Kluyveromyces lactis: one gene and its partner. The protein of the gene in region 1 interacts with the protein of each later gene in a biochemical or structural test. Links are inferred from orthologs where the notes say so. Each region holds a gene or a part of one and is shown in the gene's direction. Other genes may lie near its edges.

What was found.
Region 2: the proteins of POL32 (region 1) and POL3 form a complex in vitro, tested with the Saccharomyces cerevisiae proteins (3 studies listed by BioGRID). The link is inferred for Kluyveromyces lactis from reciprocal best matches to the Saccharomyces cerevisiae genes POL32 and POL3.

What each region holds. Positions count from the first base shown.
Region 1 is NC_006041.1:1,995,491-1,999,875, forward strand, and holds POL32 (DNA polymerase delta subunit POL32), read left to right. Parts: upstream 1-2,696; coding exon 2,697-3,866; downstream 3,867-4,385. Other genes in the region: KLLA0_E22397g (uncharacterized protein), read left to right, coding at 1,403-2,281. UniProt on the Saccharomyces cerevisiae protein: DNA polymerase delta (DNA polymerase III) participates in chromosomal DNA replication.
Region 2 is NC_006041.1:149,789-156,834, reverse strand, and holds POL3 (DNA-directed DNA polymerase delta POL3), read left to right. Parts: upstream 1-2,514; coding exon 2,515-5,820; downstream 5,821-7,046. Other genes in the region: aminophospholipid-translocating P4-type ATPase DNF3, read left to right, coding at 1-860; type I HSP40 co-chaperone HLJ1, read right to left, coding at 1,052-1,747; serine/threonine protein kinase DUN1, read right to left, coding at 5,875-7,046.

The sequences.
Region 1 (4,385 bases):
CCGTGCAAAACTCTTGGATATTGAGAAATGCAAGTAAACGATACATAGATAAATGCGAGATAAACTGAAAAATTTCAAATGTAGAAACTCGTTCCATAAACTTTGTTACCCGACTACAAGCTGCTTATCTAATATTTCTCGTCACCCGGATAAACTTCTTGTTTTCTCATTTCTGGAGGTTTTAGTGCCCATGGGTAATCAGTATAACAACCACGAACACAAAAAAGAAAATGAACACAAACAAAAAACTGTTTCCCTGCCCGCGCAATCTGCAATCTGTTTGGTTTTATTAACGAATATTCAAATCCATGCTCGCTATTTTAGCTTATTTTTTTTTATTTTTTTATTTTCATTTTTGAGTAGTAATTACTCCCTTAGCACACTGTAATTTACCCCAGGTTTAAAGCCTGGCATAGTGGAATACAGAAAGGGGCGATTCAAAAGAGCGAGCAACTGACCGTTTTTTCTTCTGATCTCGGCTGGTTATTTCTTAGTGCTCATTGTTTCAAACACCATCCAAGGCCCATGTGTAGTGTGGGTTCATTGGTGGGAATATGTACGATTCCCCTGGAACTATTGTAAGGGCTGCCTGTTTCGACCGATACATAGCCTAGCTTTTAGTTTTTCCGTTTTCTTTTTTTCTTGCTTCCGTTTCTCCTTTCTTTCTTGCGGATTCTTCCCTCCCCACATTATTGAAACCTAATCTGAATCGGCACAGTATGAGCTAGTACATTGTAGGCCGATTCAGTCCCAAATTCGAGCAAGCTCTTCCTTGTTGTGGAAATCTGGGATTTTCTTTTTTTCCTTTTCTTTATTTGTCGACCTTGAAGTTTCACCGGTTTCAAAAGAAAAAAGATGACACCGAGGCTATTTTTTTTTTTTTTTTTTTTTGGATTTCCCGCCGCTTGCAGGTACAACGGCTTCTGTGGGAAAACACTGATCAAGAAGCTGAGTCGAGGTGATGTATGTTTAGGGATCCGTATTGATTGCTTGGAAAAAAAATACATCGGGGCAGTAATAAAGGAAGGACACTGGCTTGAGGAATCAAATAGATGACTTGTCCCTCAGTTGCATTACACATACTTGTACGGTATATATGTGTGCATGTGTGGGGGGTGGGTGGAAAGGCACAAAGCAAGGTAGCTTTTTTTTTTTTTGATTTGATTCCTGAGATGTTTGTATGTTCTAAACCATATAATTTTTCAAGTGAAATACTTCTAAGTTTATCCGAAGAAACGAAAATACAAATTATGCATATATAAATAATTGTAACTTTTTAGTTTCAACCCTATTGCTGCTCCAATCTTGCTTGCAATATGCTTTATTCCCTCAATTGGGTTCATAATTGGGAAATTTGAACAAGCGAAATCCACACTATCAATTAACCTCATCAGACACAGATATGTCATTCCAAAGTTTCATCAAGACTCCAACTGAAGACACCGTCGTTCCACAAGCTCCTCCAACGGAACAGTACCCACAAGGTGTCAATTACCTCAATTTGTTCAGTCAAAAGGGCAAATTGACCGTTATTACTGGTGGTGCTGGTGCCATTGGTGGCGCTCTATGTGAGGGTTTCGCTTCTTGTGGTTCAGATGTCATTATTTTGGACAGAACCTTCCAACCAGAACTTTCCGTCCATTTGAGCAAGACTTACGGGATTGAATCCAAGTCATACCAAGTAGATATTACCAACGCTGACGACGTTAAATTTGTCTTTGAAAGAATCTTGGAAGATTTCCCAGGTCGTGCAATTAACACATTCATTGCTAACGCAGGTATTGCCTGGACTAACGGTTCTATCTTGAACGATGGTTCCACCCCAGAAATGTGGCGCAGAGTCATGGACGTTAACGTCCAAGGTACTTACCACTGTAGCAGGTACGCTGCTGAAGTATTCAAGAACCAAGGCCACGGTAATTTGATCTTGACTGCTTCTATGTCTAGTTACATCAGTAACGTTCCAAACTACCAAACCTGTTACAACGCTTCTAAAGCTGCAGTAAGACACATGGCCAAGGGTTTCGCCGTCGAATTCTCTGGTTTGACCTCTCCAGCTGGTAAGATCAGATGTAACTCTGTATCACCAGGTTACACTGATACTCTGCTATCCTCCTTCGTTCCTACTGAACAACGTGCTCACTGGTGGGGTCTAACACCAGTGGGTCGTGAAGCTTTGCCACAAGAATTGGTCGGTGCTTACTTATACTTGGCTTCCGATGCTGCTTCTTACACCAACGGTTGTGATATCCAAGTTGACGGTGGTTATACCTGTGTTTGAATCCTGTTGTAGAAAAAGCTTCGTCAACACCTATTACTGATAATTGTCACTGCCTTTTCCCCTACATCATGCTCAAAATATTTCTGTTTAACCTAACTACATTAAAAATAGAGTTAAAACTAGAGTGGTTCCTTCTCTTTCACATACTATGTAATAATTTTATATACCCAATTCTTATATGGGGTGATCATTAGTATCATACATCGACCCTTTCACTACTATTGCGAAGCTTCCCCCCATTGAGCCTTAATGTCTAATTGTCAACACTTTGTTACGCGTAAACGGTGCTAACCAAAAAAAAAAAAGACGCAACTTCACTCAATCATCATTTAGTGCTATCTGCACAGAGCGATGAGAATTGAAGAGAGAGAATAATAAAAAGAGCAAGCAAGCTCGAGCTGATCATCATCGAAATATGGTAACAGCGATAGAGAATTTTATCACGCAGAAACTCATCAATGACTGTAAACCTGTAACATTTTTAGACTTGTGCGATGAGTTTTCGATAAATGTGAACAAAGCAAAGAATGAGATGGTACAGTACTATAGCACTACGAGACATGAGTCGATCCAATGCATTGTAGTATGTGTTTTGAAGCACAATGTAATACAAATGATTACGGATCCCGAGAAACTACCGGAAAAGGAAGACATAAAGGATTTCTTCATCTATGCGTTCAACCCACTGGAAACTATTGATTTGACAAATAGAGAAAGAACACACGTTACGATCAAGAACCCCTACAAGCTGCACAATCAAAATGGCACACGGCCCCAGACAAGCGATGGTATTGGAAGTGTAATTAACATAACCACCCAAGATGTGACTCAAAAAATGGTGGCCGGCCCCAAGAAAAAGTCTGAGGCAGAACCGGTCGTAACGAAGCAACGGGCAAAGACGTTCCCAGAAGTTGCTGTTACAAAACCTAAGAAACCAACTAAGAGTATGGGTCTAAAATCTACTGAACTTCTGGCCAGAATGAGAAGAGAAAGAGAGGAGAAGGAGAAGAACAGACAAGAGGAATTGGAAAGGAGGAAGCACCAGCAGCAGGATAAAAATCACGTCGTGGTAAGCCAAGAGAAACAAAAACAATTGGACCAACTGGCCTCGATGTTTGACGATGATGATGACGATGATTTAGCCCAATTCGATAAAAATTCTAAAAAGCGTGATAAGAAAGAGGAAAGCGAAGAAGAGGCTGAAGTAAACCACCCTGTAGCGATAGAATCAGTACCTTCACAAGAATCACAACCAGTAAATCTAGACCGCACTGTCACAAACTTAGAAGAACTACTTGACACGACGGTAGACGAATCCTTAATGGAACTATCTCAACCAGAAAAGGAAAAGGAAAAGGAAAAAGAAGAGCCAGTCCACGAATCGAAAGAACAGACCACATATATAGACGAAGATGGATACATGGTTACTAAGAGACCAGCTACAGAAACGAAGAAACCACCAAAGCCTGTGAAATCAGCGAAAACGGCAGAACCGTCAAAGAAACCAGCAACACCAGTCGAGAAAAAGAAGGCTCGCTCCAGTCAACGTACACTTGAGAGTTTTTTCGGTAAGAAAAAGGGATGAGTAAATTAACTTGTGTATTTATTCAAATAGTTTCAAATAGATTCGGATGATACAGACGATACAAACGCTGGCACTGGCACTGACACCTAGATAGAAATATACGGCGACTCACGTGACCCAAAACAAAACATTAACACGTGAATAAGTTACCCGAATACACCGTACGCAACGATGTGAACAGGCCACCACGTCCCCTTCTTTGTGCGATTTCTTCTATCAGAGAAAAGGGGTGGTTAATATCGTTTCAAACGATTTATCTTGCCCTTTCTATTGAGATTGAAATTTAAGAATTTTGGATTAACAAAGATTATAAGACAGAGGAAATGATTAACTACCACATTGCCAGACAGCTTGTACGGCAATAAATTAATTGGTGTTTCATTATACTTTATTAAAGAGTGAGTTCACAAAAGTTAGATCGCTATAGCTTTAGACTGGGTTTTGAAGATTATTGCTCAATCACTTATCGCCCGTTGAAAATCTTTCCTTTTTATTTTGGACCGATATTCCAAATTACTC
Region 2 (7,046 bases), about 1.8 Mb from region 1:
TGACATTGTTAGCTGTTCCTGAATTATATACTATGGGTCAGAAATGTCAAGCATTCAACTTAAAAATTTTCCTTGTGTGGATGCTTACCGCTGCAGGGATATCAGTGCTTATTACATTTTTGAATTTTGAAATTTGGGGTTTCACAGCACAATCAGATAATTCCATATATCCAATTGGGGTTATAAACTTCACGTCAATATGTTTCTTGATAAATGTGAAATGTCAGTTTATCGAAACAAGAAACAGAAATTGGCTAGCATTTGCCTCTTTACTAATATCTTGTATCGGTTGGATATTGTGGTGTTGCCTATTACCTGGAATTTATGGCGAAAATGCGATATATGATGTTCTAATTGGTCTTTATCACCAGTTCGGAAGAGATATTACTTGGTGGGCCAGCTGTTTGATTTTGATTATGTTCCCTATGATGATAGATATCGTATGTCAAACATTCCGTGCGATGATATGGCCAACTGATGGTGATATTTTTGCAGAATTGGAGCAGAAAGATGACATCCGGAAAAAATTGGAATTTGCTGCACACAGGGAGTTGCATCAGAGCTGGTCTTTCCAAAAGGATCCAAGTAGTGTCAAGAAATATGCTATGAAAGCAGTAAATTTCAAAAAGAATGGTGCTGAAGATTCAAATTATAATACAAATGATAGATACGATATAAAAGACTTTGATACGGAAGAATACGAAATGCTACCCAGTGGTAAACTCATCCATAAGAAGCAGGTGACCAAAAAGAGTGTCAAATCGAAGTTAGGCAAAAAACTAAGATTTAAACTCAATTCTAAACCAGATGATTTTGAAATAAAACAAATAATTGAAAACAGAATGAGGGATCTCGAATGAACCGATACTCTTTACCAGGATATCCACCCTTTCTAAAGTTTCCGATGCGCTACGTTGAATAAGTTCTGTTAAATAGTAAGTTTGTAATATACATCGATAGAATTCTTTAATCATGTTTTACTATCTTTTTTATTGCTATGTGCTTTCTCCGGACTTCCGTTTATTTGGTCGTTTAATTTAAGAGGTATCAATCAGCCTAATAACAACCTTTCTAATAAGTTCAATAGAATGATGACTATGAATGGCGCTATGAGCATCATGAGTTGTGTATTCGGTTCCTCTTTCCTTTCTGCGGAGTTATCATTATGACGCGGCTGAGTACGACGAGCTCTTCTTCCGAACGGGGAATCATAATTCGTATACACTTTGAAGCCACCAGGGCCTCCAAATGAGTAAGTAGCGCCTCCTGCATTTCCAAATGGTCCACCGAACGGCCCCCCGAATGGATGCCCGCCAAACTGTCCGCCTGGACCACCACCTCTGAACAAGAATTCAAATATATCTTCTGGTGAACCACCGAATGGTTCACCAAATCCAGCATTCCCACGGAATCGTGGCCCCCCTGCTGCCGCCGCAGAGCTACCTCCTCTATACGATTCCTGTGCCGCAGCTCTGTCATCAGGATCATGGCCCAGCTGGTCGAAAATCCTCCGTTTAGAATCGTCTGATAGCACTTCGAATGCTCTATTTATCTTTTTGAACGCCTCGCTGGCCCTTGGATGTCTGTTCTTGTCTGGGTGTAATTTGATCGCCAGTTTCCTATATGCCTTTTTTATATCGCTCTCTGACGCTGACTTCCCAACTTTCAACATCTCATAGAACTCATGCTTATCCTTCGAAAGAATGTCAAGCGTTATCCGCTCCTGTTCTTCTGTGTATTCTGACATTTCCTAAATCAAACTCTGATTAATTGCAACTTCAAGATATCTCTCAATTAGCTAAAAAAAATTCGCAAAACTCACCGCTGGTCTATCACCTGTGGACTTATCACTGCAGATAGATTGTCTATCTCTTGGTAATATGTCTTCTTTCCTCTTATATGTATATATCCAGGGCAGAAAAAGTGAACCCAACAAAAAACCAACTGTTATATCTGATATAAACCGACTTTCTTTCTCTTGCTTCTCTATACTAACCCAGAATCCGTATCAAAGAATAGCTGAAGCTACAGGCCATTAGCTGCTTCGTTTGCGACAGTACTCCAGAACCAGTTTATCTCAGTTGGTCTATCAGTTCTTCAGCACTGTATTTTAATTCAAAAAAACCGTTAATCAGTATTTCATGTATGTGTGAACATTTTTCAAAATTCTTTTTTCTCTTTCTTGCCTTCCACAATGTGAAAAGCAGGAATTAGACCGCCAGCTGAATCGGAAAAACATCGTGTCACGTGGTCAAATTCTTGTCACGTGCCCATGTTTTCACGTGATATGCCATTCCCCAAAATTTCTTAAAAAAAGTTATTTTGACGCGTTCTGCTTGCTCATCACTTAAATATGATTCAAATATACCATCAGCAAATAAGTTATATACGCATCCAGGTAGCAAAGCAGAGAGGGATAGGATATAGAAGGTGGTTCTGGTCTCTGTAACAAGAAGTATTTGAGGAAACGGTTCTTCTGTGTATTGGGAAAGAAACCGAGACAGAAAGAGGGAAATGACCGTTGGTATTACGAGAGCTCGCGAAGTGGAAACGCTTGAGGATGCGTTCCAAGATATCAAGAAACAGAGGACCCAATCGTTTGATCGATCAGCGTTGAGCGAACCAGTATCCACAATAGAAATAATTCCTACTGACAAGTTCAAGAAACAGAACGTTTTAGGGTACAAGTCTAGTAAAGTTAATGATACGGTGGGGAAAGGTAACCCTACAGCTTTTGAGGAGGAACTTTCGCTTATGGATCATGAACTGGTGGAAAAGACAGAGTGTGGTCAGAGTAAAGTATGGTCTAGGGTACCTATTCCAGCGGATTTCAATGCAAAGACGAGCGATATTTCATTTCAACAATTGGATGCAGAGCAAGCGATGCTACCTGGTCAATACGATTCTAATACGAATATTGTCATAAGATTTTTTGGGGTCACTGACAAGGGTAATTCTATACTGTGTAACGTGACGGGGTTCAAACATTATCTTTACGTTCCTGCGCCCCTGGGTTTCCATCAGGAAAATATTTTGACACTTCAGCAGTACCTAAACGAGCATTATGAGAATAATGTGGATTCTATTAAGATTGTTCCAAAGCAAAGTATATGGGGGTTTTCAGGAGATGCAAAGATTCCGTTCTTACAGATATTTGTGAAGAACCCCAACCTGCTGAATAAGATTAGGACAGGTTTTGAGAAGGGATACATTCAGCCGAACGATAAATGGTTTGTTGGTGGTTGTACAACATACGACAACATTGCTTTCCCACTCCGGCTGATGATCGATTGTGGGATTGTAGGAATGTCCTGGATTACTTTACCCGCTAGTAAGTATCAATTGGTTCCAGTTAACCAACGAATCTCCACATGCCAGTTTGAAGTCAATATAAACTATAAGGATTTGATTGCACATCCTGCAGAAGGTGAATGGTCCCATAACGCTCCGCTAAGAATCATGTCTTTCGATATTGAATGTGCTGGTAGGCCCGGTGTCTTTCCAGAACCTGAACACGATTCTGTGATACAGATAGCTAATGTTGTTAGTATCTCGGGTGCTGCCAAACCTTTCATTAGAAATGTCTTCACCGTGAACTCATGCTCTCCCATTACCGGATCTCAGATATTTGAACATGATAAAGAATCAGATATGTTGGAACATTGGCGTGATTTTATTGTTGAAGTAGATCCCGATGTTGTTATAGGTTATAACACCACTAATTTCGATTTCCCGTATTTGATTGATAGGGCGGCTGCATTGGGGGTACAGTCATTCCCATATTTCGGAAGATTATCAAACGTAAAACAAGAAGTCAAATCATCTACTTTTTCGTCCAAAGCTTACGGTACCCGTGAATCCAAGAACATCAACATTGATGGACGTTTACAATTGGATTTACTGCAATTTGTGCAAAGAGAGTATAAATTGAGATCTTACACATTGAACGCGGTGTCTGCTCATTTCTTAGGTGAACAGAAAGAGGACGTTCATCACAGTATTATCACGACTTTACAGAATGGAGACAGTGAGACAAGGAGAAGATTAGCGGTTTACTGTTTGAAAGATGCGTATCTTCCGCTGAGACTTATGGAAAAACTCATGGCATTGGTTAACTATACGGAAATGTCAAGAGTCACTGGTGTTCCGTTCATGTATTTACTTGCTCGTGGTCAACAGATCAAAGTTATCTCACAGCTTTTCAGAAAGTGTCTGCAAATTCAAACAGTAATTCCAAACATGAGTTCACAAGGTTCGGATGAGCAATATGAAGGTGCGACCGTTATTGAACCGAAGAGAGGATATTATGACGTTCCTATTGCAACGTTGGATTTCAGTTCCCTATATCCAAGTATTATGATGGCCCATAATCTTTGTTATACTACATTGTGTGATAGAGCAACAGTCCAGAGACTTAATCTCAAACTTGATGAAGATTATATTGTAACTCCAAACAATGACATTTTCGTCACTTCGAAAGTTAGGCGTGGTGTTTTACCGGAAATTTTGGAAGAATTGATTGGGGCCAGAAAGAAGGCCAAATTTGATTTAAAGAATGAAACGGACCCCTTCAAAAGAGATGTTCTTAATGGTAGGCAATTAGCTTTAAAAATCTCGGCAAACTCTGTGTATGGTTTTACAGGGGCCACTGTTGGAAAGTTACCATGCCTAGCCATTTCTTCCTCTGTCACTTCTTTCGGTCGTACCATGATCGAAACTACAAAGAACGCCGTGGAAAATAAATACTGTATCAAAAATGGTGCATCTCATGATGCTGTTGTTGTCTACGGTGATACTGATTCTGTCATGGTCAAATTTGGTACCACAGATTTAGAAGAATCTATGAAACTTGGTGCTGAGGCTGCTGCATATGTTTCATCTCTGTTCAAGGACCCTATCAAACTTGAATTTGAGAAAGTTTACTTTCCCTATCTATTGATTAACAAAAAGAGGTACGCAGGTCTCTATTGGACTAATCCAAAAAAATATGACAAACTCGACCAGAAGGGTTTGGCCTCTGTTAGAAGAGACTCATGTCCTCTTGTCTCAATTGTTATGAACAAGGTCTTGAAGAAGATATTGATTGGTAGAAATGTAGATGGTGCTATGCAGTTTATCCGAGAAACTATCGATGATATTTTGCAAAATCGTTGTGATATCTCTAAATTGATCATTTCCAAAACATTGGCACCAAATTATACGAATCCGCAACCACATGCTGTGCTTGCTGAACGCATGAAAAAGAGAGACGGTGTCGGTCCAAATGTCGGTGACCGTGTAGATTATGTTATAATCGGTGGGGGTGATAAACTTTTTAATAGAGCAGAAGACCCGCTGTATGTGCTTGAACAGAACCTCCAGCTAGATTCTATCTATTATTTGAGTAATCAACTACAAAATCCAATTATAAGTATTATTGCTCCTATCATCGGTGAGAAACAAGCAAATTCGATGTTTATTGTCAAATCCATCAAACGTCAAAGTGGGCCAGTTGGGGCAGCCTCGAAACAAAAAGGTGGCTTGATGAGTTTTGTTAAAAAGGTCGATACTTGTAAGAGTTGCAAGCGCGTCCTCCGTAAAAATGAAGGGCCGTTATGCAATGACTGCTTATCTAGATCAGGAGAATTATATATGGAGGCCCTGTATGACGTAAGAACGCTAGAGGAACGTTTTTCGAGACTATGGACGCAATGTCAGCGCTGCTCAGGATCATTACACAACGAGGTTCTATGCTCTAATAAAAATTGTGATATATTTTACATGAGAGTTAAGGCAAAGAAAGAACTTCAAGAGAAAGTGATAGAATTAAGTAAATGGTAACATTTTTGGGATCTGTCTAGTGTAAATCTTTCAGGTACATAACGAACACATTATTTATTTTTGAAGATTAGATAATTCAGAGAAGGTTTTTGGTAGTCTACCTGGCTCTAACTGAGATCTTCTTTCATTACCCATCGTGACTTCAGCGTTATTGCTGGTGAACCATGGATGCGTAAGTGCGTCATTTACAGAGAACCTGCTTGCGGGATTCACAACTAGTAGATTAGAAATTAAGTGTAAGACAGAATCATCGATATTGTCCCAATACGGTGAGTAAAATGCAAACTTTCCTTGCAATATCTGCTCTTTCATACTAGGTGGGGCTAGCTGTTCACTGAATGGTGGAAATCCACACAAACAAACATATAGAAGAACGCCAGCACTCCACATATCTACTCTGGATGTATACCCTGTTTTGACTAAAACTTCAGGAGCAACGTAAGAAGGTGTTCCACATAGTGTATTGGTAAACTTCATTTCACCGGTGAATTTCGCCAACCCAAAATCTGCTATTTTAACTTGTATATCTAATTCGTCGTCATCCCAGGGCCCTAAAGCAATTTCTTCTGGGGAACGTCTTTTACTTATACTCAAGAGAATATTTTCAGGTTTGATATCTCTGTGAATGATATTTCTACTATGCAAGTATTTCAACCCATTTAGTAATTGCCTAAACAAAGCTTTAGTCTCATCCTCCCGAAGGTTATTTTTTCGAACAATCCTTTCAAACAATTCGCCATCATTGATCTTTTCAAGCACCAAATACGTTTGAATCTGTGTTTTGCTGACCGGTTCAACAAATCTATCTATGAGTTTAACTATATTCGGATGTTGGATAGATAGAAGGATCTTAGTCTCTTCTGTGAATTTTTTTGTTCTTTTGTCATCGTCATTTTGTTGAGGATGGAATATCTTTACCGCGACGGTCTCACCAGTTTCCTTATTCCTAGCCTCCTTGACAATCGCGTAATGGCCAGTTCCTAATTCTTTCCCAGCTAAGTATTTGTCGAAAAAGGATCTGGGCTGCTCCCTTGTTCTTGATAGTTTCTTGGTTGTATTTTGACTACTGAATAAAGGTTTTCTGAAAACCCCATCATAATCGCTGTTTTGCGTAGTTTGTGAAATTTGAGTGGCTGTTGTTTGACTTAGTCCATTTTCTGTAAGTGTAGCATATTTGAAAAGATATGAACAGCTTTTCCCGAATACTATTTTATCACCATTCTTTA